Linked DNA regions of Oryzias latipes. The protein of the gene in region 2 purifies or fractionates together with the protein of the main gene of each other region. This does not show direct contact. Links are inferred from orthologs where the notes say so. Each region holds a gene or a part of one and is shown on either strand. Other genes may lie near its edges.

What was found.
Region 1: the proteins of snrpa (region 2) and SRSF protein kinase 2 purify together in Homo sapiens (affinity purification with mass spectrometry; 4 studies listed by BioGRID and IntAct, with this or other methods). This does not show direct contact. The link is inferred for Oryzias latipes from reciprocal best matches to the Homo sapiens genes SNRPA and SRPK2.

What each region holds. Positions count from the first base shown.
Region 1 is NC_019864.2:11,768,461-11,771,503, forward strand, and holds the end of SRSF protein kinase 2, read right to left. Parts: intron 1,257-3,043; coding exon 1,072-1,256; 3' UTR 507-1,071; downstream 1-506. UniProt on the Homo sapiens protein: Serine/arginine-rich protein-specific kinase which specifically phosphorylates its substrates at serine residues located in regions rich in arginine/serine dipeptides, known as RS domains and is involved in the phosphorylation of SR splicing factors and the regulation of splicing.
Region 2 is NC_019871.2:13,958,148-13,962,592, forward strand, and holds snrpa (U1 small nuclear ribonucleoprotein A), read left to right. Parts: upstream 1-1,585; 5' UTR 1,586-1,667; intron 1,668-1,914; 5' UTR 1,915-1,922; coding exon 1,923-1,995; intron 1,996-2,110; coding exon 2,111-2,283; intron 2,284-2,629; coding exon 2,630-2,794; intron 2,795-3,039; coding exon 3,040-3,198; intron 3,199-3,295; coding exon 3,296-3,384; intron 3,385-3,474; coding exon 3,475-3,634; 3' UTR 3,635-3,645; intron 3,646-3,730; 3' UTR 3,731-3,880; downstream 3,881-4,445. Other genes in the region: c13h19orf54 (UPF0692 protein C19orf54 homolog), read right to left, coding at 104-172, 280-461. UniProt on the Homo sapiens protein: Component of the spliceosomal U1 snRNP, which is essential for recognition of the pre-mRNA 5' splice-site and the subsequent assembly of the spliceosome. U1 snRNP is the first snRNP to interact with pre-mRNA.

The sequences.
Region 1 (3,043 bases), on a different chromosome or scaffold from region 2:
CGTTTTTATCTTTTTTCTTGTTTTTCTGGGGTATGACGCGTCTTGTAGGTTGAAGCTTCCTTTGTCCGTGGTCGCTTTCCTGTGTTTCCAAGGTCTGTATGTACAAAGGTTTCAAATCCCTGAAGGACATTTACAAATACAAGTGCAACCTCCATGTGACCGGCCCTTTCGGGAGGGGCCGAAAAAGGGGAAACGGTACCGATCAATTCAAACGTGCCACGGTAGGAATGGGGGGGGGACACCAATGTCAGGAATGAAGGCAGAAGATGTAGGAATGTGGAGATCCTGGAATGTGGCACCAAAATATTCCATCACAATCTGAGGAATGTCCGAAATGCGATCGACCTTAGAAAGTGCACAAAACGAAGCGTCTGCTGTTGGTTTCCTTCATGCTGGTCTCCTTAAGTCCTAAACCCAACTTCTCCACACCCACAACTGACTGAATTGGAGGAATTTGTTCCACACTTGTTCTGTCAGTGATGTCCTCTGAGGGCGTTTCCGTGGTGACCCAGATGGCAGAAATCAATGTGGGGTGAGAGTTTTTTTTTTGTCCTTTTTGTAGCGAGAAGTTAGGGTGTAAACCTTTATATATCAGGAGGGGGCGCTGGCTGGAAAAGTGACTACATGGGGAGATGTTGAACACATTCTCATTCTCACACAACATAAACTCCTCCTGTCTTTGAGGAGCCTTGGAAGATTTTAGCTCTGGGTCGTCGGTGCGTTTTTTTTTGGACTTTTTATCACATTATCGGAGAAAATGAATAGCAGTTACTGAGTAGTAGCCAAATCCAAACAGTGTTAAAGACCGACAAACGCAGCGTCAGAAAACCCCTTCCGTCTTCAAGGAAGATCCAACCTGGTGCCGTGTCGTCCCTTACGGCCTCCTCTTACATTCCTTTCGGGGAAGAAGGTGGAAAAAGAAGAGGTTTAGGCAGAGGAACTCACAACGGAAGAGTGGAAAAGGACTTTCAGCTCCTCTGTGGTTCCACGGGCTAACACCAGAGGGGGGCTTTCAGGACGGTTGGGACAATAGGAAGAGGATGATGGATCAGCCTTTGTGGGTTTTTTTAGCTAGGAGTTGATCCAGGGGTGATTGAGGCATTCGCTGGCCGAGGCTCTCTTCTCAGGAACCATCTCCAGCATGGGCAGAAGGAATTGAGTGAATTGGCTCGCGTCTTCTGGCGACCAGCCGTACTTTTCCACCAGGACGTCGAACAGCGACCACGGCTTCAGCTTGGTAATGTGCCGCAGGTCACCTGAGGTTCAGATAAAGCAGAGTCAGGGTGGAGGACAGAGATGACTGAAAATGAAAAACGAGAATGCTGGTTTTCCATTTTCTCAAACAATTTAAAGGGAAGAAAACCCTGACAAATGAAAAAATAATGAGGCACATTTGGTATTTTCCTTTATTACTGAATGTGGAACAGAATCGATCATGATTAAAGTGTTCCTGAGAGAACTTTCAGATACCAGCAGTCTTGATTTTCATCCTTGCATTTTAATGCATTTGAAGCACAAACATCAAAGCTTTCCTTATTTTAATGAACATTCATGCACATACATGAAAAATCGTACATGTGGAAAAACTGCAGTGAGTACCAACTATAGTAGTACTATCGAGAGTTATCAAGAGTTTTGAACTCACTAAAAACACAACAACTGGAATCTGACTCAAAACCTTACTGCAGAATAGCTCCAATATTGGCTGCCATTTTTGGTGCACCTGTAATGTTAGCTTGGCTGGGAGCTCGTGGAAGAGTGAGTAAACAGATGGATGATGGGAAGTGAGGGCGGGCTATCATCAACAGTCCCACCCACAACTCAGAGGCAAATTTCTAATGAACCAATGCTCTGCAGAATCAGTGTCCTAGAAAATGAATCAGTTTTTTTCTATAATTTTAGCTAAAAACGGCACAATTTTAATTAAAAGGCCAATAGGAACGCTTTACAATAGATCAATCAGAGTGGGACTTCAAATTCACTTTTATGTTTTTGTCATTTCATTTATACGACAGACTCAGACTCTTAAGAAGTCCAGTTTAAAAATGTGGTTGCCGTGGTAACCCCTTTCTTTTGCACATGATGGGGGATGAAACAGAGATTTGACTCCAGTAGAATCCTGCCGAGCGCCTTTGAGCAAGACAGCAGAGACCCCAGAGACAGACCCGGAAAGCGGGTCTAGATTAACGCAGCAAAACCAGATAAAAGGCAGAACACGGAGACACGAAGTGTGGACTCAGACCTCGGATAGAGACATCAAAGGCCGGATCTTCCCATCTCATTGTAAAGAGTAAACTAGCAGAAAGGAGAGTGCAGCGGTCATCAGCTCTATCGGGTTCATACCTCACCCGGCCCAAACAGAAGGGATTTCCACATATTATTTAAAGACACTGTACGGCGAGACAGAACCAATAGTGCTCGCCATTTTTGTTGCACCTGTAATGTTAGCTTGGAGTTGTGAGGACTTGCAGACTAGCAGTGTAAAACAATGGATGATGGGAAAGGGAGGCAGGCTTATTCTGCACCTACAGCTCCGCCCACAACTATGAGGCAAATTTCTAAGGAGTTACTGCTGCTTTTTTTTTTGGCTAAAAGAGCCATAATCATAGTTTAAAGACGACTGGGAATGGATTCCAAAAGTGGGACTCCAACTTCAAACTGTAGCCTCAGACAGAGCGGAAAAGTTTTAAAACAGGCTTTTAGTCATGATAAGCTTATTTGGTGTTTGTAACCATTACATTCTTTCTGTCTTCACCTCAAAACCTTCCAGCATAAAGTATTTGTCCAGTGAAGATGAGAAGGAAAAGTTCAATAACATGTTCTAATAACGCATGAGTGGAATTAAAATGACAAGTGCTTTAAGTGTTTTAGGGCTGCTATCAATGCTAACGCTAGAAAGACTTCCACACTTGCAGCTAGATGACCGTTTTTCATTTTTAAGTTCAGTCAGTCAGTCAGTCAGTCAGTCAGTCAGTCAGTCAGTCAGTCAGTCAGTCAGTCAGTCAAACCCAGCAACACCTGAAAGCATCATTGCATTGTGCAA
Region 2 (4,445 bases):
ATTGGCCAAATATTTGAATCCAAAGATCGTTCTGACATGATATCCCCTTTGGAGTCTAAAAATTGGTGCTATTTATTCCCGACAGCACAGTTGACTGACTTACTGAGGGCCATCCTGAATGAGGGAAGGCACATACGTGTTCATCAGCATCCACTGCAGGTCTTTCCTGAATCTAAAAGAAAAATGGAATACATTAGTTTAAAAAAAATGAGATATGTGAGCTTCAATAACAATCCAGGACTCAAATAAATACTTTGGATTGGTAGTGAACCTCCTCACCTGCTCTCCTTCTGCCTCAGCAGTAACCTCGCCTCGGTGTATTGCCCCTCTACAGGGCTGCTGTTATTTGCTATGATCTGGTACAGTTTCTTCGGTGGTGCTGAAGTTGGTGGAGGAGGAGGCGGACAAGCAGCCAGTGGAGGAGGTGGAGGAGGTGATGACAAGCTGCAGTCCACCGGCATAGTCTCAAAATCTTTCTACTCTGTCTGATCAAAACCAGCTCTGTTGGGGGGAAAAATGTACCTCCATTGATTTCTTTAATAACCACCAGGGAGAAAGTTAAGTACCATTAAAGTCTAACATGGGGCTCAATAACTGCTTACCTTTCACTTCGAGTCGTTTGCACACAATCTAAAAAGCTCGATGTTTACCTAAACATGTCAACCTTTGGACGAAAAAGATTTGACATATTCTTGCACGTGGTAAACAAACTTTTCGATTTAACTAGCTAACAAGCTAGTAGCTAACGCAGCTCCGTGCTCATATTTGGACATACTCGCTCTTCTTCGTGTGTGCGATCGCTCTGTACTCAACTGTTACACCACCCTCCAGTGAGTGATGATGATCATTCCATCACTAGTCATCTACAGTTTAACACACCATTTACACACATACCGTACAATGTATTTGGAAATAAAGTTGAAGGCACAAAGTTAGTGACAAGTCAATCCACAGTCAGTGTGTAACAGGACAAGCGAAGTTTTTTTCGCTTGTGTCTCTGGGTTTTTTTCTTTTTCTTTTACAGATTTTTGACATTTTCTTTTAATCTTTCCTGTCAAGATACGATACCACACTGATAGGACGATTAAAATATCTTGCTAACGCAAATACTGAAACAAATTTCGTTTTTGACCATTGACTGAAAAGGACCGCAAATACACTGGCTTTATTTCTATTTTTTATTCTTGTTTTATTTATGTATTTATTTTTACTGTTACTGTATTGTTACTTAGTTTTTCCCTCTGTGATTGCTTTAATTGTATATTATTGAACAAGATTCGTTTTAACAATCGATATTGCTTATAATTTTGTTCTTAATAGTTTTCACAAGGTTAGAGTGAGGTGGAGGACGATGATTCGCTGTGGCGACCCCTGATGGGAAAAGCCGAAAGAGAAAGAAGAAGTTTTTTACAAGGTTAAAAAGATTTTTTTATTTATTCAGAACGTAATTGTATTCTTTATATTTTACTGTTATAAATGTTGCATTTTTGTATTATATTCTGCAAATGTTCAATAAAAAAGAGAAGGACCGGAAATCACGTGCAAGTTGGATTTATCGCGAGCAGATGATACGGAAATTGTAAAGGCAGGTTTTTCATTCACCCATCGAAGTGAGCGTTCCTTTCGCGCCGAGCGGTGGTGGGTTTTTTGTTAAAACTGATACTCAGGTGCGGTTATCCGGTGTTTTTTCTCTTTTATAAAACCAAATGTCATAAGGTTACAGATAGTTCGATTAAATTAATCATTTATTGCTGATTTGTCTCAGTTTATACCGAGTTTTAAGCTTTATGCTAGTAATGCCTGCATGCATTCAGGGTTGTTTGCTAGCGCTAGCTGTTAGCCTGCTAACTAGTTGATAGCATTCAATTCATTTTATGTGACATGCTTTGTTCTTTTCCAAACAACTCTTCGTAGATTTTAAGATGACCACTCCAGAAGTACGACCCAATCACACCATATATATCAACAACTTGAACGAAAAAATTAAGAAAGATGGTAAGTTTTTTAACTTCTGGCCTTTCTTTGCTTTTTTGGTCGAAAGAACGATGTGGTGATAAATGATGTTAATTCAGATCCACCACAGCTTTTTATTTTCCTCTGTCTTTATTAGAACTGAAGAAGTCACTGTACGCCATCTTCTCGCAATTCGGTCAAATTTTGGACATCCTCGTCGCACGAACCCTGAAGATGAAGGGTCAGGCCTTTGTTATCTTCAAAGAGATCAACAGCGCCTCAAATGCACTGAGGTCCATGCAGGGGTTCCCTTTCTATGATAAACCCATGGTAAGTTAAACGTTGTTTTAATTTCCTCCATGGTTTTAAATTTACAAATATCGTCCTGTAAAATGTTAAAACTCAAATCAATCTTAGTTTTCAATATTCCTCTCTGCTGTCATGTGTTGTATAGTTTGTGAAATGTTTCAATTCCACAGTGTGCATCAAATGAAGGATTGATCTTTGTAAACTTAGAAGTGCTCAGTGTGAGAGGATCACTGAACACTTAACACTGAACACTTTTTAATGGTTATTAAAAATACATTTAAATAACTAGTAGGTATAATGGATTTTTTCTTTTTTTTAAGCACACTTGGTATAGTAATGCCACATATTTAAACGTGTCTTACTGCAGCGCATTCAGTATTCCAAAACAGACTCGGACATCATAGCAAAAATGAAAGGAACCTATGTGGAACGTGAGCGCAAAAAGGAGAAGAGGAAGCCCAAGCCTGAAGGAACAGGAGCTAAGAAAGCTGCTGCTGCAGCCATGATGGCTGGTGTGCCTACTGCTATGCCTGTAAGTGGGAACGTTTACTGTGACCAGAATGACATGGCAGCTCTTACTCGGACAAGTTAAAAGTGGAAAAATACTGTCTGCAAACTTGCTAAGTTTACCATAGCGATAGGTTGTTTGGAGATTTTAAGCTAAAATAACAGCAATTGATGGAGAAAAAGTTTGGTTTAAAAACCCCACAGAACATAATATCAACCTAGCAAACATTTAGAGGACCATGAACATGTTTACAATGTGTCATTCTCTAGGGAATGCCTCCTATGAGCCAAGCTCCCCGTATGATGCATATTCCAGGCCAGCCGGCCTACATGCCTCCTCCAGGCATGATGCCTCCCCCAGGAATGGCGCCTGGCCAGATCCCCCCAGGTGCAATGGGTCAGATGATGCCTGGCCAAATGCCTCAGCAGGTAATGATTTTTGTCCCCCTGTTCTTTACATGTTTAACCAAAGATGAACATTCCAGGTTTTGTTTCTTTTTTGTCAAACATTTGCCTTCTCTTACAGGTTGCAGAAAATCCACCGAATCACATCCTCTTCCTCACCAACCTGCCAGAGGAGACGAACGAGCTGATGCTCTCCATGCTCTTTAACCAGTCAGTATTGACTTGATAATTGTTTTATGCTTTGACTTTCTTTTCTGCCCAACATATCAAAGACTGACCGTGACCGTTTTCTGCGTTTAGGTTCCCTGGCTTTAAAGAGGTGCGTCTGGTCCCTGGTCGCCATGACATCGCCTTTGTGGAGTTTGATAATGAGGTTCAGGCTGGAGCTGCACGAGATTCACTACAGGGATTCAAAATCACACAGACTCATGCAATGAAGATCTCATTTGCCAAGAAATAATGCCAACACAGGTTGAAATTTGTAATTTGTTTTTTTCCTTTTTAAGTGGTGGAAGTAAAAGGCGTTTTTTTAATAAAATATTTGTTTTTTTCCCAGATTACATGTAAGTATGCTTTTTCTAAGTCACTTTGACATGACTTTAGTTTTAAAAAGTTTGAAAGCATTGCACCCAGTGTCTGACTTGTCAGACATTGTACCTGGAGCTTGGTATTTGTTGTTTTGTATTAAAGTAATTAGATTACTTGATTGATTTTCATTATTTCTTGTTTATGGATTTTTTTTTGGTCATCTAAAACTTGTATTTACTCCATCCTTCTCAGACTGGCACCTACACAGCTTCCTGCAAGGGGTGTAACAATTAATCAATGTATCGATTTATCCAACCGGATCTGAGGCAAGTTCGTAATTAACCTATAGCATTATAAAATCCTTTCAAAATAATATGAATGAATGATAATCGATCTCGGAAAATACTAGTTGAACTGAGACATGATCGTGTTTTTTTTTGTTTTTTTTTACCATAACTATTAGTAATGAATTGTTGTTTACTTGTTTTGTACACATTTATTTACACTAAATTATCTTGCAAGAAATCCAAGTAATCTGGTAAACGTCACTTTCACTGCACAGCACCCTGGTATTTATTATGAGATGCATGGAGTTGTCCTGGATTGATTTTAGGTCATAGGATCATTCAAAGTACACATATCTACTATGAATCTTGTCGGCAACCACAAACTGAGCCGAATTATTAAAATGCATTGGTACACCTCTACCTCCTGCCAATTCGTTTAAACTGTAGTGGGGTGTT